Linked DNA regions of Canis lupus familiaris. Each later gene encodes a partner of the first gene's protein in a complex. Links are inferred from orthologs where the notes say so. Each region holds a gene or a part of one and is shown in the gene's direction. Other genes may lie near its edges. The genes, in order: RANBP2, NUP85, NUP205, CETN3, NUP188, NUP93 and XPO1.

Region 1 (3,500 bases):
AAAAGTGGAACTTGTAACAGGAGAAGAAGATGAAAAAGTTCTTTATTCACAGCGGGTAAAATTATTTAGATTTGATGCTGAGATAAGTCAGTGGAAAGAAAGGGGCCTGGGAAACTTAAAAATTCTCAAGAATGAAGTAAATGGCAAACTGCGAATGCTAATGCGAAGAGAACAGGTACTAAAAGTGTGTGCTAATCATTGGATAACAACTACCATGAACCTGAAGCCTCTCTCTGGCTCTGACAGAGCATGGATGTGGTTAGCGAGTGATTTTTCTGATGGTGATGCCAAACTAGAGCAGTTGGCAGCAAAATTTAAAACACCAGAGCTGGCTGAAGAATTCAAACAGAAATTTGAGGAATGCCAGAGACTTCTATTAGATATACCACTTCAGACTCCTCATAAACTTGTAGATACTGGCAGAGCTGCCAAGTTAATCCAGAGAGCAGAAGAAATGAAGAGTGGATTAAAAGATTTCAAAACGTTTTTGACAAATGATCAAACAAAAGTCACTGATGGAGAGAGTGAGAGCTCTGATGCAGGTTCTGCCAATGCCTCCGATACAATCAGCAAGCCAAATCCCGAAAACACAGGGCCCACACTGGAGTGGGACAACTATGATTTAAGGGAAGATGCTTTGGATGATAGTGTGAGTAGTAGCTCAGTGCATGCTTCTCCATTGGCAAGTAGCCCCGTGAGGAAAAATCTCTTCCGCTTTGGTGAGTCAACAACAGGATTTAACTTTAGTTTTAAATCTGCTTTGAGTCCATCTAAGTCTCCTGCCAAGTTAAATCAGAGTGGTACCTCAGTTGGCACTGATGAAGAATCTGATGTTACTCAAGAAGAAGAGAGAGATGGACAGTATTTTGAACCTGTTGTACCTTTGCCTGATCTAGTGGAAGTGTCCAGTGGTGAGGAAAATGAACAAGTTGTTTTTAGTCACAGAGCAAAACTCTATAGGTATGATAAAGATGTTGGTCAGTGGAAAGAAAGAGGCATTGGTGATATAAAGATTTTACAGAATTATGATAACAAGCAAGTTCGCATCGTGATGAGAAGGGACCAGGTGTTAAAACTTTGTGCCAATCACAGAATAACTCCAGACATGACTTTGCAAAATATGAAAGGGACAGAACGAGTGTGGGTGTGGACTGCCTGTGATTTTGCAGATGGGGAAAGAAAAGTAGAACATTTAGCTGTCCGCTTTAAACTACAGGATGTTGCAGACTCATTTAAGAAAATATTTGATGAAGCAAAAATAGCACAAGAAAAAGATTCTTTGATAACACCTCATGTTTCTCGTTCAACCACTCCCAGAGAGTCTCCATGTGGCAAAATTGCTGTAGCTGTATTAGAAGAAACCACAAGAGAGCGGACAGATTTAACTCAGGATGATAACACAGCAGACGCAACTTCAGAAGTTGGAGAAGTATCTAGCACATCTGAAGCAACAACAAAAGCAGTGGTTTCTCCTCCGAAGTTTGTATTTGGTTCAGAGTCTGTTAAAAGTATTTTCAGTAGTGAAAAATCAAAACCATTTGCGTTTGGTCACAGTTCAGCCACTGGGTCTTTGTTTGGATTTAGTTTTAATGCACCTTTGAAAAATAACAGCAGTGAAGTCAGTTCAGTGGTCAAGAGTGGGTCTGAAAGAAGAGTGGAACCTAATGGTGAAGAGTCGAAGAATTCAGATAGCAAACAGTCTTCAGACGGCAAAGTCAGAAATCTCTTTGCTTTTCCAAAGGAGGAGTCCTCAACTAATTACACATTTAAAACACCAGAAAAGGGTAAGCACTTAGTCTTTAATGTGAGCAAATTTTTCTTCCATTGATTTGTAACTATTTTGCTTAACGCATATACTCTTTGTAGAGTACTAATGTTTTAGTAAAAGTTGGGTCATAAACACAGTGCTTCATGAACAGTGAAAATACTGGTATAGATTTTTTTTTTCTCCCTAAATGTGTTTCCCTGTGACTGTTTAAATAGCAACAAAGAGTGGGTGTGTGTAGGTCATTTAGGAGATCTGAGTAACTGGAAGATATTTATATCATGTTTAGTGCAGAGAGCAAGAACCTAATATAGTACCAAAGTTTAGTGACTCGTACTTAAATCACAAACATTAACTCAAGTCTCATTTTTTTTAAGTGTTCATTCTTCAATGTAGTATTCTCTTGTCACTCAAAAAACGTGGTACTGAGATGTACATATAATATATATAAGGTAGTCTTACCACTATTTATTAAATGATCAAAGAATGAAACTACCAGGATAAATGAATATGTGAGACAGCCAAATTGGTATAAATTGAGGGTCTCTGGCTTTTTGTATTTTAAAATCACATTCACTTTGATTCTCAAAATGTTCAAAAACAAAATACTCTTTATTTTCTAGGATTTAATTTTAGCCTTTTTAAATCTAATCCAATGGCTTTTTGGACCAGCATCCCTTCCTCACAGCCTGAAAACAAAGGTATAGAGCTAGTATTCTCAGTATGAGATGACTTTTTTTTTTTTTTTAAAGGAGCTGGTAGTCCTTTGCAAAATAACTGGCTGTATGAAATTAAGGACTTAACACTACAATGTGCATGTTAAAAGAATGTCTGTTTAAACAAGTACTTTTTGACTGGTGGTGTATGATACCCTTTAATACTGTTTTTGTTTTTTTAATGTACTCAGATATCATGTTTTCTCACTCCTGTACAACAATATTTTGAGATAGATCCATGTGGTCTTTACCTTTTGCTGCTTTGTACTTTGTTACTGTATTATTTTCGACTCTGCTTAATGAAGACCTGTGTTTTTCTAACATTTATCTTTAGCCAAAGGTAATGTTTGTGAGCATGTATACACATGGAACAGTTTCCCTTTTAGTTATCCTTTTGGACAGGGTTTAGAAAAATAATATTTGAAAGTAGACCCCGTTTTTAATAGCGACCATTATATACCTGGTATGTTACAAAAGTCAATGTTGGTATTAGAGAGGAATAATAGGAAGTGGGGGGGGGGGTCTATTGAAGACCTTCAGGAGCAAGGGTAGGGAAATGTAAACTGTTTATTAGTATCTAATAACATATCTTGAGCAGCCCAACTATGTTCAGTGATAAAATGACAATCCTTGATTTTGGGGCCCATCATTTTTAAAGTATACCAATCATAATACTAGCTAACACAGCTCTTAACCTTCATTCTTAAGAATGTATTCCTTGAGAAATTATGTGAAAGTGTGGACTTCTTCCTGTAAATGACATATACTTGCATGCATACTATGGGACCCTGGGTTAAGAATCCCTGGCCCAGGCACCTGGGTGGCTCAGTTGGTTAAGCGTCTGCCTTCAGCTCAGGTCATGTTCCTAGGGTCCTGGGATCCAGCCTTGCGTTGGCTCCCTGCTCAGCAGAGAGCCTGCTTCTTCCTCTCTGCTGCTCCTCCTGCTTCTGCTCTCTCTCTCTCTTTCTCTGTCAAATAAATACAATCCTAAAAAAAAAATGTATCCCTGGCCTAAGAGC
Region 2 (3,500 bases), on another chromosome or scaffold:
AACAACAGTAAAATACATAAGCCAGTGAGTTGAGGAGTAAAAGTCTGAGAGTAAACATTCATATTTAAGCAATTTACATGTAAATAATTGATAAATGATAATCATACTTTTTTGGGGGATAGAGGCGGGAGTGTGAGTGGGGCGTGGGGAACAGAGGGAGAAGGAAGAGAATCTTAGGCTCCATACTCAGCATAGAGGCCAATGTAGGGCTCAGTCTCACAACCCTCAGATCATGACCTGAGCCAAAGTCAAGAGTTAATTGCTTAACTGACTGATCTACCCAGACACCCCAATTTATACTTTAAAAATGAAATCAACAGCAAAGAAGCTGAAGCTTTTGTAATTAGATAACTCATTTTAAAATTTAAAGTGAGTTTTTGTATGAGGGTTATAATGATTGATACTAAAATTTTCCTGTTTCAGAAAAATCAGAGACCGAACCAGGCTGCCCCTTTATCTATATCATTCGAAAGGATATAGATGTTTACTCTCAGATCTTGAGAAAACTCTTCAATGAATCCCATGGAATCTTTGTGGGCCTCCAGAGAATTGAAGAAGAATTGACTGGAAAATCCAGAAAAGCACAGTAAGTAGGCTGCTAATGGGTGTTGAAGTCCAAAACTAAATTGTGAAAGCCAAATGAAATGTGTTGTCTTCTTTCTTTCTTTTCTTTCTTTCTTTTCTTTCTTTTCTTTCTTTTCTTTCTTTCTTTCTTTCTTTCTTTCTTTCTTTCTTTCTTTCTTTCTTTCTTTCTTTCTAGAAAGAGCAAGTACACGGTGGGGAGAGGGTGCAGAAGGGAAGGGAAAAGCGCTCTCCCTTGAGCAGGGAGCCCAAGGCAATGTGGCAGGGCTCGATTTCAAGACCCTGGGACCCTGACCTGTGTTGAAGGTAGCCGCTTAGCCACCTGAGCCACCCAGGTGCCCCTGGAGCTTTTTTATTTTTTAATTAATCAATTAATTAATTAATTCATTCATTCATTCGAGACACAGGCAGAGGGAGAAGCAGGCTCCCCGCAAGAGTGGGACTTGATCCCAGACCCTGGGATCACGCCCTGAGCTGAAGGCAGATACCCAACTGCTGAGCCACCCAGGCATCCCTAAAGATTACATCTTGATAACTAAACCAGTTGCTTTCTTGTGAATGTTTTAGTTTTGTCATTTTCTTTTTCCTTTTTTTTTTTTTTTAAATTTTATTTATTTATGATAGTCACAGAGAGAGACAGAGGCAGAGAATAGGCAGAGGGAGAAGCAGGCTCCTCGCAGGGAGCCCGATGTGGGACTTGATCCTGGATCCCAGGATCACGACCTGAGCCAAAGGCAGGCGCCCAACTGCTGAGCCACCCAGGCGTCCCTCATTTTCTTTTTTAAAGACCTTATTTTGAACTAATTTTGGACTTACAGAAAAGGTAACAAAAATAATAGATTCCTGTGCATCTCTCACCCAGTTTTCTAATTTTTTTTTTTTTTAATTTTTATTTATTTATGATAGTCACAGAGAGAGAGAGAGGCGCAGAGACACAGGCAGAGGGAGAAGCAGGCTCCATGCACCGGGAGCCCGACGTGGGATTCGATCCCGGGTCTCCAGGATCACGCCCCGGGCCAAAGACAGGCGCCAGACCGCTGCGCCACCCAGGGATCCCTCTCACCCAGTTTTCTAACGTTAATATCTACATAGCCATATTATTGTTACTTGAACTAGGAAAATTACACATCAGTGTAAAGTGATTAAAGACTTCATTTGGATTTCCTTTTTTTTTTTTTTTTTTTTTAAGATTTTATTTATTCATGAGATAGAAAGGCAGAAACATAGGCAGAGGGAGAAGCAGGCTTCCTATGGGGAGCCTGATGCAGGACTTGATCTTAGGACCCCGGGATCATGACCTGAGCCAAGGCAGACACTCAACCACTGAGCCACCCAGGTGCTCCTTCATTTGAATTTCACCAGTTATTTCACAAATGCCCTTTTTTCTTTTCTGCATCTCAGGTTGCATTTGGTTTTTATCCCTTAGTCTCTTTCATGACCTTGACACTTTTGAAAAATATCAACCAGTTATTTTGGTGACTGTCCCTCCATTTGGGTTTCTCCAGTGTTTTCTCATGATTGGACAAAGGTGGTGCATTTTTAGTAAGAATACCACAGAACTGGTATGTGTCTTCAGTACATCATGTCATGGGATTCATGATGTTGATGTCTTATACTGGTTTTGTGGACCTTGATTACTTCAGTGGTTTCTACTTGGTTTCTCCACTATGAAGTTACCATCCTTCCCTTTGTGACTAGTAAGTATTTGGAGAAGAAATTTTGAGATTATGCAAATTGTATTTCTCCATGGGCAGCCCCGGTGGCTCTGTGGTTTAGCGCCACCTTCAGCTCAGGGTGTGATCCTGGAGACCCGGGATCGAGTCCCACGTCGGTCTCCCTGCATGGAGTCTGCTTCTCCCTCTGCCTGTGTCTCTGCCTCTCTCTCTTTCTCTCTCTCTCTCTCTCTGAGAGACAGAGAAAAAAAAATAAAAAAAAAAATTTTATTTGAACCACTAGTTTCACTAGTGTCCATCAGTGGATATCATCTTTTTTTTTTTTTTTAAAGATTTTATTTATTCATGAGAGACACCAAGAGAGAGGCAGAGACACAGGCAGAGGGAGAAGCAGGCTCCCTGTGGGGAGCCCCATGTGGGACTTGATCCTGGGTCTCCAGACCACACTCTGGGCTGAAGGCAGGTGCCAAACCTCTGAGCCACCCAGGGATTCCCCCAACAATTAATATGAATTCATGGATATTTATTTTATTGTATGGGTTGTCTCATGTGTTACTCATTTTGATGCTCAAGTTGTTAAAACTTTGGCTGTTAGAAACTCCTTCAGGTTGGTTCCTGTCTTTGAGCAAGCTCCTATCTTCTATTGAGAACTTCCTTCCTTTTTGTCACCACAAGATGCTCCAGGCTCATCTTGTGTGTCATTTCCTTTTTTGTAGATTGGTTCGAGTGAGTAAGAACTACCGCTCAGTCATAAGAGCATGTATGGAGGAAATGCACCAGGTTGCAAGTAAGGATTTTATGTGTGTACATGTGAGAGTAATTGAAATGTTTGGTTATAAATACCGCAAGAGAAAATGTATTTGACTTCACAGTTTAAAACTCTTAACTTTCCTATATAATCCATAATTTTTTGGCAGTTATCTTAAGTACATTTTAAAAAAATATTTTATTTATTTATTTGAGAGAGAGAGCATGAGAACATGAGGGGTAGAGGCAGAGAGAGAAGCAGGCTCCCTGCTAAGCAGGGAGCTCGATGTGGGACTCAATCCCAGGACCGTGAGATGACCTGAGACAAGGGCAGATGCTCAACCCACTGAGCCACTCAGACAGCCCTCTTAATAAGCACATTTTTCAAGTTAGAACATACTGAGTCGAGCAGCCCGGGTGGCTCAGTAGTTTAGCGCCACCTTCAGCCCAGGGCCTGACCCTGGAGACCAGGGATCAAGTCCCATGTCGGGCTCCCTG
Region 3 (3,494 bases), on another chromosome or scaffold:
GTAATTGAGGATTAAGTTGCTGTGATTAAAATAAGCTCTAGATGGCTCCAGTGAAATGCAGCTCTTTTCTTTATGTGTAATTAGTGGGAAAATTTGTCAATGACTTTAAGAAAGATCAGTAAGGAGGTACTGGTGTCAGTCCTGTGGATAGGTTAGAGAGCTCAAGAGGACAGAGAAATTCAAGATTTTCTAAGGATAAATTTCAAAGAGCTTTGGGTTTGAATAGTATTTGAGACCCCAAAGAAAGTATCTAAGATGGGCAAGTAAACTAGCTGGGTGAAAAATGTACAAACATAACAGACGGTTTATGCGTAAGATCATGTTAAGCTGAAGGTAGTGTCTGAATTGGGTCTCGTAGTATAGCTCCAAATTTCTGTATCACAGCAAAGTAAAGTGTGGATGCTAAGTAAACTGACATAGTCTGTGATTTCCTAAGGACCCAGTAGGTGAGATCTGGAATGTGAGGGTTGTGGGTTGATGAAAGCTGTTATCCCATGGGACCCTCAGAAGACAGTCTATTCGGATGTTAGTGGTGCTTGCTCTGTGATTTTTCTGCAAATCATTTTGTCACATTTTCATCTTCAAGATCTTATTTTCCCTGAAAATTGCTTAATCACATAAAAGATTTAGTAGGATGGTGTTATTAAAGTATATTAGTTTAACAGTATCTAACCACTGTTTCATGTAAATGGTGCCAGGAACTAACAACTCTGTGCAACTCCATTATAAAGTGTCCAAGGGGCTCCGTTCTTCCCCCTTGAATCTTTTTTTTTTTTTTTTTAAGATTTTATTTATTTATTCATGAGAGACAGAGAGAGAGAGGCAGAGACACAGGCAGAGGGAGAAGCAGGCTCCATGCCAGGAGCCTGATATGGGAGTTGATCCCGGGTCTCCAGGATCATGCCCTGGGCTGAAGGCAGCGCTAAAGCGCTGAGCCACTGGGGCTGCCCCGAATCTAACATTTTAAAACAAGTTAAGTTGAGCCTGATCATAACATTTTCAAATGAAATTATAGTTTTGTCATTTATTCTTCAAAAACATTAATAATCATCACTAACAATTAAAATTTCACTTGCTTTCTTTTCACTTTGAGCCTGTCTTTCACATACTAGGCCATTCTCCGATCTTTAATACTTGATGAACTTTATGAAGCCTAATATATATTGGTCTTTATTCTTCCTTAGACTCTTTAAAGATTTAATCAGCAAACTTAACCTTTGCCAGTCGTAGACACAGGAGGGGGTGGGTTTGTGGTAGATTCAGGAATATTCATTTGTAGAGAAGCAGTTTAAGCTAGCAGTTAAGAACAGAGACTGATGATGAACTGCCTAGATTTGAGTCCCAGATCACCATGGCACTTCACCACTCCTCTGAACTGTCAGAAGTATTTAAAAGTAGTTGTGGGTTGGTTTTAATAATAGTTTACATGCCCTTCAGTTCTGGGCATCCCTTGTTTTAAAACAGGTCATTTGAAATTCATTTAATATTCTTGTAAGTGGAACATTCTGTTTTTATTATCAACTCTATTAGATACCCAAGCTCCAGTGATTCCATATTGGCGCCTGCCAGGTTTGGGCATTATTGTCTACCTGCTGAAACAGAGCGCTAATGATTTCTTCAGCTATTATGACAGTCACCGACGGAGTGTCAACAAGCTACAGAATGTAGAGCAGCTTCCACCAGATGAGATAAAAGAGGTATGAATCTTATAATGAGCCATGGAGATTTTGGAGAATCCTTGCTTTTCCTAATGACCAAAATATTGGTGTCCGACTTGTGTGTAAAGATGATGTATGCAGTGATAAAAGGGCTTGAAATGATGCCTCTGTGTGGTTTGAAGAAGAGTCCTCCCCGTAGCACCACACCTGGTAATCAGGGCAACACTTGAATGGAAGATGGTGAAGTGCATCTGTTCAGGAACACCACCTGCTACCCTTCAGTAGAACGGCAGCTGGCTTTTGAAGTAGAGTTTTGGTAATTCATACTCTGAAATCTGTGCTGAGAAACCTGGGTTTCTGTTGCAGATGCTTATTCAGTAGAAGTGATCCCTTAAGTAAGAGGTCTCTGTGTCTTCAGCATCTTCAGTATCTGTTTAGAGAATTTTTCAGACAAATGGGATAGCATATAAGACTTGACTGCCTGCCCTCAGTGACCCAGAATCATTCACCGATATTGTAGCTAAAGATACTGAGTCGCTAGGCTTACATCCTAAGTAGCCACTTTCTCTCCCATCCGGCACAGCTGAATGACACAAGGCATACCCTGGCCGGTGCTGAAGCTCCCTGGTGGCCCGTGGCAGCCTAGATGTGGAGCCATTTTGCCATTCCTCCTTTGCACCAACTGTCCTGAAAAGCTCCGCATTACTCTTCAGAGTAGTCAAAACCTCCTCCCTCTTGCCTGCTTCCAGCAATCATAGGGAGCAGTTGGTGGGTGTTTCTGATGTGCCAGACAAGTTCTGTTGCAATACATGAGGCAGATAGTGTAGCCACTCCTATTTTCTCAGATGAGGAAGTGGAGGCCCTGGAAGTTTGAATAATTTACCCAAAGCCACACAGCTAGCAGGTCCTGAGGCGGGAGTTACTGATGAGGTTCTAGTAATCCCTGAAGTGGGGGGCTTTACATCTGGCAGCCCTTCCCCAACACGCGTAGCTTACGGGTGACACCAGCACTCGCCAGAGAAACGGCAGCCTTCCTGGCAAGTGTGCGGTGCCCTCCCAGCCCCACTTCAGTTTGCCTTCTGTCCAACCCAGCAGCTGAATTTTGAATCGGACCGCAGTGCTTATGCCAAACAGAGGTGTGATGAAAGGAGGTTCTGGTTGATGAGCCTATTTTAGTTAATGCTGTAGAAATCGGCTTTTACATTTTCTTCAGAAGATACATGACAGCTGTTACAGAAAATCTCCATGGCGTTGTTAGACCCACGGCCTGAAAAACCTACTGTTGAATTTTGTTTTAGTTTGACAAGAGATTCAGGGTTGGTCGGCCCCTCAGCAGATTGGAAACATCTGTTACAGAGATAAGACCTTTTGCAGAAATCGGCAGAGGAGTCTTCATTTGTGAATTCCACTACTTTGGCTCTCGGTTTTATAAAGTTACCAGCTTCCTAACCAGATGATAACTCTCATCTGCAGGAATGTTTAAACTTCTTTGTTTTTTTGCAGGGCCTGTCATAAGTGACCCTCTCTTCATGAAGTTTCTGTTAGTTTATGTAATCGCTAATCCTGCGTTTGTTTCTGATTCTCAGTTGTGTCAGTCTGTGATGCCTGTTGGTGTTGAGAAAATCTCTACTGCCCAGAAATATGTTCTAGCAAGACGGCGTTTGGTGAAGTTGATCAATAATCGAGCCAAACTGCTTTCCCTCTGTTCTTGTATCCTTAATGAAGTCACAGTGGGAACTTGAGTGGTGGTGACCTTTAAGAAAATCTTTAAATGCGGGAACTGTTTACTGATTCTCACACAGCAAAACTGTATAAAAGGGACATATTGGGACATGA
Region 4 (3,500 bases), on another chromosome or scaffold:
GGGCCTAGAATTATTTATAAAGATGTGAGGGAAAATTAAAGTTTAGGGTAGTACAGATCTCACACTCAGCATGAGAAAGGCGACATTTTGGTAGCTCCATTTTTTTTTTTTTTTTTAATTTTATTTATTTTTTCATGAGAGACACAGAGAGAGAGAGACAGGCACAGGGAGAGAAGCAGGCTCCATGCAGGGAGCCCGACTGAGACTCGATCCCAGGTTCTCAGGATCACGCCCTGGGCTGAAGATGGTGCTAAACTGCTGAGACACCCGGGCTGCCCTGTCTCTTCCATTTGTTACCATTGTTATTATCTTGGTTTGGGATCTTACTTCATACCTGGATCTTCTTAAATGTTTTCTCCATTTCTGGTTTGCTCTGTATACTACCATTAGATTCACCTTTCTAAGACTCTTTCCTCCTATTATTCATTGTTCGTAAACCTTTAGTGGCTCCTCATTGTACACTGCATAAAGTTCAGATTCCTTTTATTTTTATTGAATACTCCCCACACTTTTACTACTACCTACTTTTCTCATTGCTAAGGACTTGTTTCCACCTGAGCTCTTCCGGTTCAGGTATGGTAAGCTGCTCTGTTCACTGTCCTTAAGCCTATATATTATGGTATCTGTTTTAATGCCAGTCATCCTTTTCTCAGTGCTCTTCTACTTTATTTCATCCATATATCAGGGAACAAATGGAACCTTTCCGAGTAAGATTTCTTTAATCAGTATCCTGTCTCTCCTTTTTGTTAATAGTAACAAGATCTTTTCTTTCTTTAAACTCAGGGCCTGGACTATTTACTTAATAACTAATCATGTAGAGTCTCATGATAACTCTTACTTTAATTTTTTTATCTCTTCTGTTGTATACATTTTTAATATTTATGCTATACTTTTTTTCATTTTGGTAATCATTTGAGAACAAATAATTTGTTAAAATGATTTGTACAGTAAGTCAGTCTTGTATGGTGTATTTTATAAACATTTGATTGGTTTGTCATATAAAAAAGGATATGTAAATGAAAAAGTTGCTATTTCAGTAGTGGAGAAAAGCTATCACTTTGATTTTTTAAGAGACATAAAACTTGCAAAAGATTTAAATGTTTTATTAATGTGCTGACATCTCTTAAGTTGTAAAAACTTATTTAAGAATTGGAAGTCACTTCTTTTGAAAGAGTGCTTTATAATTTGCTTTTCCCTTTTAATCCAAAAGGTGGCAATGAGAGCCTTGGGGTTTGATGTAAAAAAAGCTGATGTACTGAAGATTCTTAAAGATTATGACAGAGAAGCCACAGGGAAAATCACCTTTGAAGATTTTAATGAAGTTGGTGTGTATTTTAATAGTCTTTGTAATTAGCACTTGTTAGGAAATTATCTGGTTAATATTAGTTTTTTTTTAATTCTCTGGGTTATGGAATTTTGTTATTGAACATTGCTGTATAATGTAGATATTATTATAGGGATTTGGGGGCACTCTTCTTACTTATTTTCAAAGAAAAAAATAAGATTTACAGCTTCACTATGGGATTTATCATTTTGTCTTTTGTTCTGAAGATTCTAATTAAGGAACTATTATGTAGCTTTTTGTGGAATGATGTCTTCCTAAGTTTATATCATGTGATAAAACTAAAAAGGTGATCAAAAAATTATTTTCTTAGACTAAAACAGAAAATTTGGTATCCTTTTGTTTGGAAAATATTTCCTAAGACCATTCTGGTGTGTGATTTTTGTTGGCAGAGTGGGAGAAGAGAAAACCTATAGCATTTGGTATCTTTGGCTGAAGATGAAGTGCATGCCTTCAGGTTGACAAAGCTTATAAGGGGCTGCATATTCTGTATGACTTGATCTCAGTGAATAAAGTCATCTGTTTAAAGTTGAGAATGGGGAGAGGATTGTAATAAAGGCATTTGGCAAACTCAAGCAGGAGAAAACATTTTAGAATAACCAACTAAGCATAATGTGTCATGAGCTTAATATGATTGAATTTTTATATAGTTGATTTTAGTGAATTAGTTATAGCATATATCAAGCTTTTTTAGAATAGAAGATTCTGGAAAGCAAGGCCTTTGTTATTATGATTTAAATATATTGCATAGAATATTATACATAGAATGTGCATCTATTCAGAGTTTAATTTTCTAAAGCAGTAATACTTAATATGGGTCATGATATAAGCATATAGTTATTTTAAGATATTTTAAAAATTTAGAAACAAATCCAGTTACAAACCTTTTGTGTAAATATTCAGCATGAATATTGTACTGCATGAAGCAGTACAGAAAGCAAAAACAAATGGGAGTTTGGAAAAGATAGATTCATATCATTAAATCATTGGTTTTATTTTTTTAATTTGAAAACTCAAAACCAAGGTGAGGAAGAGGAAAATTAAAGGATAAACCTAAAAGAGAAAGGAAGAACAACACAGAATATCCCCACTTTATAAATTAAGAAATAACTGTTTAGAAAGGCAGCTCATCTCTTGGGGAGCATATTGTTGTTATTGTTGTTGTTTTTCCTAATCTGTAGACTTATTTACTTGAGAAGGGGGAGGGAACCATCTTTATTCTTTTAGTCTTTCATTATTGAAGTTCTTCTACAGTTAGTGATCTTAGTCCAAGTTCCAACTTAGATTGTTAATTTATAGAAACAGGTATTAGGATATAGTGGCAATGATACTATTAGGAAAGAGCTACAGTTCAGGCACATTTGATACAATGTAGTGGTTTATCATGGACATTTTAGAACCAAATTGCCTGGGTTCAGATATTGGTTTTTGTATGACTTGGTCATTTTTCTTGTCTCTGACTCATTTGCAGCTATATATAGTGGGATAGTTGTAGTATCTTGTGATTTTTGGGAGGAATAAATAAGTTAATACATAAAATATGTCAAATGTTTATTAGAAGGGGTCCTAGCTATAATAGTAAGTACTATTTAGTATTTGTTATTATTACTTTAAAAAATTGTCTTTGTTTCACTTTGCTTTAGTACCCGGAAATAATTGTGTATGTATCCACTTGAACATAAAAAGTCTTGTATTCATGTTTTTCTGATTACATTTTTTTCATAGTTGCAGGCTATTTTAGGCATTGTATCATCGTCATTAATGATTTTATGCAACATATTATAACATCTTAAGTAAATACAGTTTTAAAATGTGATTTTATTAGCAGTTGAAGTCAGAGTCCCATGCCATCTTCACCCTTTCCTTACCCTTCATTTTTCTATGTTATTATTGGAGCCGCTGATACTGGGTTCTTTCCAGAATAAATGACCATGGCTAAACATCTGCTCTGACTTTGAAAGATAGAACTTTTGACCAACTTAGCACATACTTTAGCTATCTTAAAGGCTACCTATTGAAAATACCAGTAGTCAAATAAAAATTTATTACTGTTTAGAAATCAAACAGCCAAGAACTGTATATTTTCTCCATTTGTTAATTACTTTTCAATGATAACTGACCACAAATGAGTGTCTATTTTATACTTTGGAACAAGTAA
Region 5 (3,500 bases), on another chromosome or scaffold:
GTGGTTACATTTTGAAATTTAGTTCTAGACTTTAGAAAACCCCATAAGGTGTTTCCTGAAGTTCCAAAGGCATGGATGAGGGAAGGAACTTGGGTAAGCACATGGTGAAGGGTATATTTAAAGAGTTTACCAGGAATAGTGACAATAATGTGTTGTTTTTAATATAGTGTCTTGCACTGTATGTGGTACCTAGTGCTAATTAATAAGTGAACGAATATTGCATTTAGAAAATTTTCTGAAGGTACCTGGCTAGCTCAGTCAGTAGAGTGTTTGACTCTTGGTCTTGGGGTCATGAGTTTGAGCCCCGTGTTGGGTAGAGAGATTACTTAAGTAAATCTTAAAAAAAAGAAAATTGGGGCACTTGAGTGGCTCAGTGGGTTAAGTGCCTTCGGCCCAGGTCATGATCTCAGGGTCCTGGAATCGAGCCCCACAATGGGCTCCCTGCTTAGTGGGGAGTCTGCTTCTCTTCCCTCTGCAGCTCCCCTAGCTTGTGTGTTATCTCTCTGTCAAATAAAATCTTAAAACAAAACAAAAAAAAAAAAAAAAAAGAAAGATAAAATTTCTGGAGTTGATGAGGGGGCTTGAAATATACATAGTCCTTTTCTGTATTCTCCTTTTTGGTCACTACATTTTAATGAGAAGGGAGGAGATAGAAATACTACCCTGAGGTGGCTTCTTAGCATAGAAGATGTAAGATAATTCACTAATTATTGTAGTTCATTAATTCTCAAATATACATTTCTTTATACTGCTATGTATTTTATTATCGATGGCTGGTAGAACATAAATAATCATGTATCCTGCAATTAATTGTATCTTAAATGCATTAAAGTATGGTGGCAATCCTCTTTTTTTTTTTTAAAGACTTTATTTATTCATAGAGACAGAGAGAGAGGCAGAGACACAGGCAGAGAGAGAAGCAGGCACCATGCAGAGAGCCTGACATGGGACTCGATCCAGGGTCTCCAGGATCACGCCCTGGGCTGCAGGCGGTGCTAAACCACTGCGCCACTGGGGCTGCCCGCAATCCTCATTTTTAACACATCTGCTTGGTTTAGGTTATGTGTCAGCTTCTTAATTTTTATTTTGAACATCAAACTTTTAAGAACAATGTAATGGGATTAATGTCCAGAGTTTTAATAAATTGTTTTGTACATTGAGTTTCCTGGTTTCAGAGAATAGATGAAATACTGCGAGACAGCTTGGTCAAATTTGTATAATCTGAAAGTGCAAAATTCCCATTATTTTTCAGGAGCAGCCGGGAACTATGGACAATTCTGCTTGGAAGGTCAGCTCTGAGAGAACTGGTAAGTGGGTGGTGTTCTTGAGTGGATTCTGTAGTTTTTATGTAGCTTGTGTTACAATAAGCTCCCAAAACTGCCTTGTCTTTGATGGAAGAAGTAAATGCATTTTTTTATTCCTAAAACTTTATAAACATGATGTATTCCCTGTTTCTCTGTGCTGAACCATGTTGTATCTTCTAGCCCAGCTGCTAAGGTTTCTAAACCACTTCTCTTTGTTCTTTGGTGATTCCTTATCTGAAAAGATACCAGTGCTGTTCAACTAGCTGCTCAGGGTTGAGGGACAAATACCATTTTGCTCCCTCAGGCTAAGGAAAATGCTCAGGCCTTTTCTCTGTCTTGGACTTTACTTGCCTTTTCTTTTTTTTAACATGTTGCTAGCTCCTTAGGTCACAGAGGCTGTGCTTTCTAGGACATTTCCAAGTATAGTAAAGGACAGTTCATAATGTTGATCCTTAGTGTTTTAACCGACCCTGTGAGGGTAAAGTGTTAAGATGATGTTCAATTATTGCTATTATTATTATGGTAATTAACATAATGTTATACCTTTTTTCAGAGCTTTAATTTTTTTTTTTTTAAGATTTTATTTATGGGCAGCCCCGGTGGCTCAGCGGTTTAGCGTCTGCCTGCAGCCCAGGGCATGATCCTGGAGACCTGGGACTGAGTCCCACGTTGGGCTACCTGCATGGAGCCTGCTTCTCTCTCTGCCTGTGTCTGTGCCTCTCTCTCTCTCTGTGTCTCTCATGAATAAATAAATAAAATCTTTAAAAAAAAAAAAAAGCCACTCAGGCATCCCTAGAGCCTTTTTTTTTTTTTTTTTTTTTTAGGTAGGCTACATGGCCAGTAGGCTACATGGGGCTTGAACTCATGACCTTGAAATCAAGAGTCTCATGCTCTACCATCTGACCTATCCAAGATCCACTATAAAGTCTTCACATCTTTTATATGCTTTCGTCTGATAACTCTACTTCTAGGAATATGTCTTACAAGAAAGAAATCCTGAAAAAGTTTTGTGCACAAAGCTCTTTACCATAGTATTTTTAAAATTTATTTTTTATTTATTTGAGAGAAAGAGAAAGCATGAGCAGGGGGAGGGGCAGAGGGAGAAGCAGGCTCCCTGTTGAGCAGGGAGCCCTATATGGGGCTCCATCCCAGAACCCTGGGATCATGACCTGAGCCGAAGGCAGACACCCAACTGATGGAACCACCCAGGTGCCCTTACATAGTGTTATTTATATTAATAAGGAGTCACCGCTTAAGTTTATCTAACAATAGAGGTATGGTAAATAAATTATTATCCAGCCACTTGATAAAATATTATGCAACCACTAGAAAGAGTATTTATCAAGATTTTCATAATCAGGTTAAATCATCGTTAGAATGTTAAGGAAGGAAAAGAGGCTACAGAATTCTTTTTTTTTTTTAAGATTTTATTTATTTATTAGAGAGAGCATGAACGGGATGAGGGGAGAAGTGTGAGGGAGAAGCAGACTCCCCACTGAGCAGGGAGCCCGACGTGGGGCTTGACCCCAGGATCCTGAGATATGACCTGAGCCAAAGTCAGATGCTCAACCAACTGAGCCACTCAGGTGCCCTGAGAATTCTCTTTTCAAAATGATTTCAGCTGTGGGGAAAAGCATATTAAAAAAGACTTAGGATTATGTAAACCCTTATATAATTTCTTTGTTCTTTTCCAGAATCAGATCGAGGCAGAACTGAATAAACATTGGCAGCGGCTCTTAGAAGGGCTGTCCTACTATAAACCACCCAGGTATGGCTATTCCATGCGTCTGGTTAGAGTAATTCCCCTGAGGAAGCTGGGGTAGTGAAACTGTTGTTGTGTATGATTTTGTGATACTGCTGGGTCAGGTAGATTATAGAGAATACAGTTTGGTTACCAGTGGAAGAGAGTTGGGCACATTTTTTCTGTCTGTTGAAAGGAAGGGAAATTCCTTTTAGAAATATAGTGTTGTTGAATCTAGTTATATAACTCTAGTATTTGGGGAGGGGGAGTCATTAACTTTTCAATTAATAGTTCTAGTGTTTATTTTGGTCCACTGTGTTTGTGTACAGTGCTGTTGGCACCAGGTGCTAGGCTAGGGCAGTGAGCAGTGATAAGAGTAGCTGACCACTTACAGAGTGTTTACTGTGTATCAGTTACTATTCTGAGTATCATAGGCCTCATAAAAGCCCACTAAG
Region 6 (3,500 bases), on another chromosome or scaffold:
TCACCACTTAGAAAGAGTCACATTTGGGGATTTTCTACAGTTTTAATTTCTGAGGGAGACGGTGAGAACAGGATTTTCTCTCTTCCTTTGGAAAAAGTAAACCTGCTTTTCTCCAATCAGTGCTATCTCCCAAGGATTCTTAACTTTAGAATATTGCAAAGTGTTCAGGGGATCCATTTTTAAGGGGGAGATTTACAGCTAGAAGGATTCTGGGGAGAGTGAGTCCCATCTGTGTGGTGGTAACACGAAGGAGAGAATGCCTGTTCTTTTCCTGGGAGGCTGTCATGGAGGCGTCTTTTAAAGGGAATGAGTGGGAAGGAAAATGGGAGGTTGCGACACTCACAAAATGGGGTAAGAGCAGTGGCCCTTGGAGAATCTTTGGGAGGACAAAACCTTTATTATTTAGGTTAAACTCTTTATTTTAAGCCTTAAGAAACTCACATGACCTTGTAAGGATTGAAATGCAGCTACTTGAGTTTAAACTCCTAGAGCTTTGGACAATTATAAATGTATTCACTTTCTCATAAGGGATAACCCACTGAGATTCAGTGTTTCTTTTACTATTCTGTGGTCTTAATTATGTGGGTGGTTATGTCAGACCTGGAACAGTAATTGATCTGAAAACCAGCTTGGGGCAGGAGGGTGCTCATCAGCAACTGGCAGGGCAGAGGTGCATCTTCTGTACTGAGCTTAAGCCTGAAGGCCTTAGACAGAAGACATTAAACTTCTTCCTCTACCTTACCTTCTCTGCCTTTGAGATCAGAGCTACGAAGAGCCAGACCATTTCTCTAGCCCTGCAGCATTGTCACGCACAGTCTCATTTATGTGCAGAACATCTCTGACATGTGGACCATGGTAAAACAAATGACAGATGTGTTGTTGGTACCAGCGACTGATGCCCTGAAGAGCCGCAGCAGCGTGGAAGTGCGCATGGAGTTTGTCAGGCAGGCCTTGGCATACCTCGAGCAGAGGTAAGGCAGCCCTGGCACAGTGGGGCTGGCTTCAGAATCCCTAGAAGTCAGCTGTTTCTCAAGTGTTCAGTAGTTCTGTGTCTAAGTGCTCCATAGTACAGGGTTGAGTAAGGCTGAGAGATCCCATCCTGTTTTCAGAAACATTTCTTTACTAGGACTGTTTCTGCAACAATAAAAAATCATGGCAAGTGGGAGCACTGTTAGACTTTTCATTTTCTCTTTCTCCTCTCTCTGTCCCTTAGTATGGAGACATCATAATTATTAGGCCATTGCCTTAGGTCACGATCCGGTTTCCTAGTGAGGTTTAGGCATGAGTCCTTAGGCTTTGTCTTCTTTCAGCATTTTAATCTTTACATCTGGCAATATTACCATTTTCAAGCCTTAGGAAGAGTCCTTGACCCTTTATTTTCCTTCTGGCTCTATTCCATTAATCCCTATGTGTCTGGATCCTTCCCAGCTGCTAATGCCTGTAGTTGGTGCTGGGAGGCTTTGCCACCTCCTCCCTAACTGGAGTTCGGTCACTGAGGGGGTTGTTGTGCCCTTGTGTCCTAACTATTGTCCCCTTCGTTGGTAGGACCTGTGCCATTCATTCCTCCCTGTAGACATTCCTTCTAGCTCTGAATTTGCCAGCAGGAGTTGTCCCAAATGTTCAACAGACTCTTTATTTCAGAGGCAGGGTGCTGGGCTCCCGTCTGCTAGGTGGAAAAGAGAAAGCAGAGTTGAATACACTTGTTCAATTACACCTCTTTCCAATGAGCCCATGTGGCTGCTAGTGCCCATGTAGTGTGGTTGCCCTTTATCAACATAATAATACTGTGTTAGAAAGTTAGAAAATTCATAAGATTTCCTTGTGAATTAACTGAGGTAATTTAGACTCTGTACCTCAGAGAATAGGTACTTTTATACTGAATACTGTAATAATTATACAATCATTATACATGAGATGAACACCATCAGACATAATCTCACTAGCCTACATTCCCTGGTTAAGAAAAATCTAGAACTCCAAATTTTTTTTGTCTTTATTCTTTTTTTGCATAGGCACAAAAAAGTTCATAAAATATTTTATTAGACTTTTGCTAAATTTTTGTAATGTTAAGTTTTGGGTATATTGATCTGCAGCCATAAAGATCCTAACGTATATTGTAGTATTGCTACACGCAGCAAAAGAGTCAAAATTTTTTTACAATATATAAAAACCTTTAAGTATGACTGCTCATGACTGTTTTTTCTTTAGTAAACCTACTCTTTAACATTGGTGCTTGACTTCACCAGTGGTACTAAGCATTCCTTAGTTTTATATCTGGTAAGCCATTCCATGTCTTTTATTATTCTTTTCATTTCACTTATTTATTTGTCTTAAAAAAAATTTTCCCCCTTAATTCCTTTGGCAGCACTTAGAGCTACTTGGGAGTTTCCTGTCCATATTTATTGTAACTTTATTGTCCTTTCATTCTAGTGGTGTCACTCCCTGGTGGCATGCTTTTTAAGAATTGTCATCTTTTGATGAAGGGATTATTTCAGGATAATTATACTCACCTTTTTTCTTTTTTCTTTTTTTTTTTTAAGAAGAGATTGTTGGCGGGGGAATGGGGTCAGAGGGAGAAGGAGAGAGAGTCCCAAGCAGGCTTCACACTCAGTGCAGAGTGTGGAGCCTGATGCAGAGCTTGATCCCACAACCCTGAGATCATGACCTAAGCCAAAACCAAGAGTCAGATGCTTAACTGACTGAGTCACCCAACACCCCAATTGTACTCACTCTTAAAGTATTTTTGCCGATGCAGATCCATAGACAACATAGTAGAGTAAACAGAGACGTAAATGCTTTTTGCATATAAAGCTGAAAATACAGGGTTGGTTGATCTGTTCCCTGCTACATTTCAGATTCAAAACAGGATACATATTTTTTAAGTCCTGAAGGGATTCCAGCTGCTTCTTCAATTTAGGCCTGAGCACACGAGTTGTCTTAATTCAAGCTGAAAGAGACTGTAGTGGGCATGTTTGTCCTGGCTGCTATGGGACTCAGTTCTCTAATCTCTTTTCCAACCTCTGCTTTTAAATACTCTCACTGATGGGGGACTTACTATATTTGTTAATTGAATTTTGTTTATTTTTCACTACAAAAATACTACATGCTCATTATAGAAATGTGGGGGAAATGCCAAAAGACCTGACAAAAAGGGAAGAGGTCTCCTGTACCACATCCAGAGGCTCCTGTACCTTTTCAATTTCCTTTTCCCCTGTTTTTGATATATGAATATTTTTTTGTTTTTTACAGTTATGATCCAAATGTGTACAGTACGTGGTTTTTGTAGTTTGCTTTTTAAATTCTTTGTCAGTATCATTTATGTAACATTCCATTGAGTCTATTTTTTTGTAATTGACTTTTAGATGTTTCTTTCTCTCTCACACTCTCTCATTCTGTTATTTTATTTAATCTGGTGTCGACTATCTTTGTGCATATGGGGCACCTGACTTTTTTGAGTCATCCTGTTTTGCTTTGGATAAGAAACATATTTAGAAAGTTAT
Region 7 (3,500 bases), about 27 Mb from region 1:
AGGGTGATGTACCCATTGAAATATATAGGTCCTTCGTTCTGGTCTTCTCCTGCCTCTAGCAACCACTAATTTGTTCCCTATGGATTTATCTATTCTGAACCTTTAATGTAAGTGAACTCCTAGTATATGGTGTATTGTAATTAGTGTTTTTCACCTAGTGTATTTTCAGGGTTCATTTGTGTTACAGCATGTACCAGTATTTCTTTTTTATAGCTGAATAACAGAACAATACATTGTATTGTATCCTAGTTTGTATACCCATTCATGAATCAATAGACATATAGATTGTTTAAACCTTTTGAGTATTTGTATCAAATGTCCCTTAATATCCATACGTTTTTAGGGAACTTTTAACATGTGTATTGACCAAAAAATATACAAAATTTTCGAAGTGTTGTAGAACATGTTTGAAGAAAGTACAACTTGCTCCTAGAGAATTTCTAGTCTATTAGATGAATAATGAAACCTCAGAATTGTGCAAAATGAAATATGAATTTTATTTTTATGTTTATTAACATAACAAATGGCAGGCAATTTGTGGGAAAAAATAATGTAAGGAAAAAAATAATGTAAGGAATTATTTTTAATATTTTCGGTGTTCTTTGTAGGCCCTTCATTATATGTTGTTGGTATCAGAAGTGGAGGAAACTGAAATCTTCAAGATTTGTCTTGAGTACTGGAATCACTTGGCAGCTGAACTTTATAGAGAGAGCCCGTTCTCTACATCTGCTTCTCCATTGCTATCCGGAAGTCAACATTTTGATGTTCCTCCCAGGAGGCAGCTATATTTGCCCGTGTTATCCAAGGTAACAATAAAGTGGGTGGTAAATGCTACTCCTATCTATTTCTTGCTGTAATTTTGAAGACTTACTGAAATAGTGGGTTTTATTTTATTTTGACTTTTATAATCTAAATAAAAGGTAGAAAAAGAGCATCCAACAACTTGACCATGTTTTCAAAGCTAGAAAATTGAGAAGGATTGTTTTAAGAACCATAGTGTTTTCGTAGAAGCAGATTGCATTCCAGTGAGTTTATTAGAAATGCAAATTAAAAGATCACCGACCGGCGTAATGAATCACTCTCAACAGGAAAGTTAATACTTTATGTTTTATTCGTGATAAACAATGCATGGAAATCATTGTTGTAGAATTACATTTTTTAAGATTTTATTATTTGAGAGAGAGGGAACAGACTCCCCGCTGAATAGAGAGCCCGATTTGGAGCTTGATCCAGGACACCTAGATCATGACCTGCACTAAAGGCAGACATGTAACAGAGTGAGCCATCCAGGTGCCCCTCAAATTACATTTCGTAATGTTTCTGTTCTGTATTGTGGGAACAGTTTTGGGGGTATGTTGGTCTAAAGTGTGAAGTGCTTATTTCAAAGATGTAATAGATTTTTCTTGTTTGGTTGAGCAGGTCCGTTTATTGATGGTTAGTCGTATGGCTAAACCTGAAGAAGTATTGGTTGTAGAAAATGATCAAGGAGAAGTTGTCAGAGAATTCATGAAGGATACAGATTCCATTAATTTGTATAAGAATATGAGAGAAACATTAGGTGAGTCAAGAAATCCTGCCGGTTTGATCTTTTTAATTCTCTTCTGGGGTGGAAATAACTAAGAAATGGCGCGTACTTTTCTGAATCTGTTAATAATCACTTTTATTGCTGTGCTATTTCTTATTAAATGTTTTTTGTTCATAGTTTAGAATTTGAACTTTTGGAACCTTTTCCCTTCTTTTGTAGTTTATCTTACTCATCTGGATTATGTAGATACAGAAAGAATAATGACTGAGAAGCTTCACAATCAAGTGAATGGTACAGAGTGGTCATGGAAAAATTTGAATACATTGTGTTGGGCAATAGGCTCCATTAGTGGAGCAATGCATGAAGAGGATGAAAAACGCTTTCTTGTTACTGTTATAAAGGTATGCAAGGGATACTACATGTGAACTGAGCTCTTGGGTAACTAAATTGTATTATTATAAATGACTGAAATTGCTCTCATTTTACAGGATCTTTTAGGATTATGTGAACAGAAAAGAGGCAAAGATAATAAAGCTATTATTGCATCAAATATCATGTACATAGTAGGTCAATATCCAAGATTTTTAAGAGCTCACTGGAAGTTTTTGAAGACTGTAGTTAACAAGTTGTTTGAATTCATGCATGGTAAATCCTTATTATTCAGCTATTTGTATTTATTGAACAAAAGAAACCCCAAATTTTCTTGAAATTTTTTGATAATATTTTTGTTTTGTTAGAGACCCATGATGGAGTCCAAGACATGGCTTGTGATACTTTTATTAAAATAGCTCAGAAATGCCGCAGGCATTTTGTTCAGGTTCAGGTTGGAGAAGTAATGCCATTTATTGATGAAATTTTGAACAATATCAACACTATAATTTGTGATCTTCAACCTCAGCAGGTACGTAGAGCACTGAGCATCGTAGTAGTATGCATATTCATAGACAATGAATACTACGGTGCCCATGTGGGTGGCTCAGTTGGTTGAGCATCCAACACTTCATTTTGGCCCAGGTCATGGTCTCAAGGGTTATGAGATCAGGCTTCACAGGGGTGGGGAACCTGCTTAAGATTCTCTTCCCCCCTTGACCCAGTCTCCACCCAAAGAAAAGAAAATGACTACTATTTTTTTTTTTCTTATTTAAAGGTCTGTTTATTAGAGTAAGAGTACATGGTGGGTGGGAGGGCTCAATCTCAGGACCATGAGACCATGACCCAAGCCAAAACCCAAGTGTTGAATGCTTAACTGACTGTGCCACCCAGGCACCTCATGACTAGTATTTTACTCAGAATTCATAAATGGCAATAGAGTAACACCATTGGATTCATTCAACATACATCTATGGTTAAATTTTTTTAAATTCCAGTATAGTTAACATACAGTATTATATTAGTTATGTGTGTACAATATAGTGATTCAGCAATTCCATGTATTACCCAGTGCACTACTTACTCCCTATCACCTATATCACCTATCTCCCCAACCCACATCTCTGCTGGAGTCATTAAGTTTTCATTGTAGGACAAAAATTTAGCCAGAAGTTTATTAGGCTATTTTCTTACCTAATGTAAGTTGTTTCTCAGACTCAAAAAAGAAGGTCTAATACATATGTAAGTTGGTTGTTTGTGGTTATCCTTATGATGCATAAACATAAAATGTCTGCCATTTTACATAGGTCCATACATTTTATGAAGCTGTGGGGTACATGATTGGTGCACAAACAGACCAAACAGTACAAGAACATTTGATAGAAAAATACATGCTACTCCCTAATCAGGTTTGGGATAGCATAATCCAGCAGGCAACCAAAGTAAGTTCTACTCCTTTTTATCAAAGTTCAAATGGAATTCAAGAAGATCGTGTTATTTTCAAAAGTAACAAAAACTATACTGTCATTTTTTTCTGATTTGATGGTATATTGGGAATGTTAATCTATTCATAGTTGTAGCTACAGGTAATAAAGATTTCTGTGTT

The links.
Region 2: RANBP2 (region 1) and NUP85 share a complex: the UniProt entries of both Homo sapiens proteins name them as parts of the nuclear pore complex. The link is inferred for Canis lupus familiaris from reciprocal best matches to the Homo sapiens genes RANBP2 and NUP85.
Region 3: RANBP2 (region 1) and NUP205 share a complex: the UniProt entries of both Homo sapiens proteins name them as parts of the nuclear pore complex. The link is inferred for Canis lupus familiaris from reciprocal best matches to the Homo sapiens genes RANBP2 and NUP205.
Region 4: RANBP2 (region 1) and CETN3 share a complex: the UniProt entries of both Homo sapiens proteins name them as parts of the nuclear pore complex. The link is inferred for Canis lupus familiaris from reciprocal best matches to the Homo sapiens genes RANBP2 and CETN3.
Region 5: RANBP2 (region 1) and NUP188 share a complex: the UniProt entries of both Homo sapiens proteins name them as parts of the nuclear pore complex. The link is inferred for Canis lupus familiaris from reciprocal best matches to the Homo sapiens genes RANBP2 and NUP188.
Region 6: RANBP2 (region 1) and NUP93 share a complex: the UniProt entries of both Homo sapiens proteins name them as parts of the nuclear pore complex. The link is inferred for Canis lupus familiaris from reciprocal best matches to the Homo sapiens genes RANBP2 and NUP93.
Region 7: the proteins of RANBP2 (region 1) and XPO1 are in contact, whole or in part, in a cryo-EM structure (PDB 9B62), measured with the Homo sapiens proteins. The link is inferred for Canis lupus familiaris from reciprocal best matches to the Homo sapiens genes RANBP2 and XPO1. Residues at the interface, in NP_006258.3 of Homo sapiens: Val2508, Val2509, Ser2510, Pro2511, Pro2512, Lys2513, Phe2514, Val2515, Phe2516, Gly2841, Phe2842, Gly2843, Ser2845, Thr2846, Gly2847, Leu2848, Ser2849, Phe2850, Ala2851, Leu2853, Ala2854, Asn2857, Ser2858, Gly2859, Asp2860, Phe2861, Ala2862, Phe2863, Gly2864, Ser2865; in NP_003391.1 of Homo sapiens: Trp60, Val63, Asp64, Leu83, Asn97, Gln98, Gly101, Ile102, Lys104, Tyr105, Val107, Gly108, Ile110, Ile111, Leu134, Phe149, Asp152, Ile153, Gly155, Ala156, Ser157, Arg158, Thr159, Ser160, Glu161, Leu163, Cys164, Asn167, Leu208, Phe211.

The regions. Positions count from the first base shown.
Region 1 is NC_049231.1:36,161,712-36,165,211, reverse strand, and holds part of RANBP2 (E3 SUMO-protein ligase RanBP2), read left to right. Parts: coding exon 1-1,784; intron 1,785-2,388; coding exon 2,389-2,466; intron 2,467-3,500. UniProt on the Homo sapiens protein: E3 SUMO-protein ligase which facilitates SUMO1 and SUMO2 conjugation by UBE2I. Involved in transport factor (Ran-GTP, karyopherin)-mediated protein import via the F-G repeat-containing domain which acts as a docking site for substrates.
Region 2 is NC_049230.1:6,154,619-6,158,118, reverse strand, and holds part of NUP85 (nuclear pore complex protein Nup85), read left to right. Parts: intron 1-423; coding exon 424-586; intron 587-2,971; coding exon 2,972-3,042; intron 3,043-3,500. UniProt on the Homo sapiens protein: Essential component of the nuclear pore complex (NPC) that seems to be required for NPC assembly and maintenance. As part of the NPC Nup107-160 subcomplex plays a role in RNA export and in tethering NUP96/Nup98 and NUP153 to the nucleus.
Region 3 is NC_049237.1:12,272,354-12,275,847, reverse strand, and holds part of NUP205 (nuclear pore complex protein Nup205), read left to right. Parts: intron 1-1,530; coding exon 1,531-1,697; intron 1,698-3,244; coding exon 3,245-3,368; intron 3,369-3,494. UniProt on the Homo sapiens protein: Plays a role in the nuclear pore complex (NPC) assembly and/or maintenance. May anchor NUP62 and other nucleoporins, but not NUP153 and TPR, to the NPC.
Region 4 is NC_049224.1:18,666,156-18,669,655, forward strand, and holds part of CETN3 (centrin-3), read left to right. Parts: intron 1-1,210; coding exon 1,211-1,325; intron 1,326-3,500. UniProt on the Homo sapiens protein: Plays a fundamental role in microtubule-organizing center structure and function. As a component of the TREX-2 complex, involved in the export of mRNAs to the cytoplasm through the nuclear pores.
Region 5 is NC_049230.1:54,790,997-54,794,496, reverse strand, and holds part of NUP188 (nucleoporin NUP188), read left to right. Parts: intron 1-1,252; coding exon 1,253-1,307; intron 1,308-2,998; coding exon 2,999-3,072; intron 3,073-3,500. UniProt on the Homo sapiens protein: Component of the nuclear pore complex (NPC), a complex required for the trafficking across the nuclear envelope. Required for proper protein transport into the nucleus.
Region 6 is NC_049223.1:58,752,993-58,756,492, reverse strand, and holds part of NUP93 (nuclear pore complex protein Nup93), read left to right. Parts: intron 1-831; coding exon 832-971; intron 972-3,500. UniProt on the Homo sapiens protein: Plays a role in the nuclear pore complex (NPC) assembly and/or maintenance. May anchor nucleoporins, but not NUP153 and TPR, to the NPC. During renal development, regulates podocyte migration and proliferation through SMAD4 signaling.
Region 7 is NC_049231.1:62,842,491-62,845,990, reverse strand, and holds part of XPO1 (exportin-1), read left to right. Parts: intron 1-608; coding exon 609-806; intron 807-1,419; coding exon 1,420-1,558; intron 1,559-1,744; coding exon 1,745-1,926; intron 1,927-2,013; coding exon 2,014-2,170; intron 2,171-2,262; coding exon 2,263-2,426; intron 2,427-3,201; coding exon 3,202-3,336; intron 3,337-3,500. UniProt on the Homo sapiens protein: Mediates the nuclear export of cellular proteins (cargos) bearing a leucine-rich nuclear export signal (NES) and of RNAs.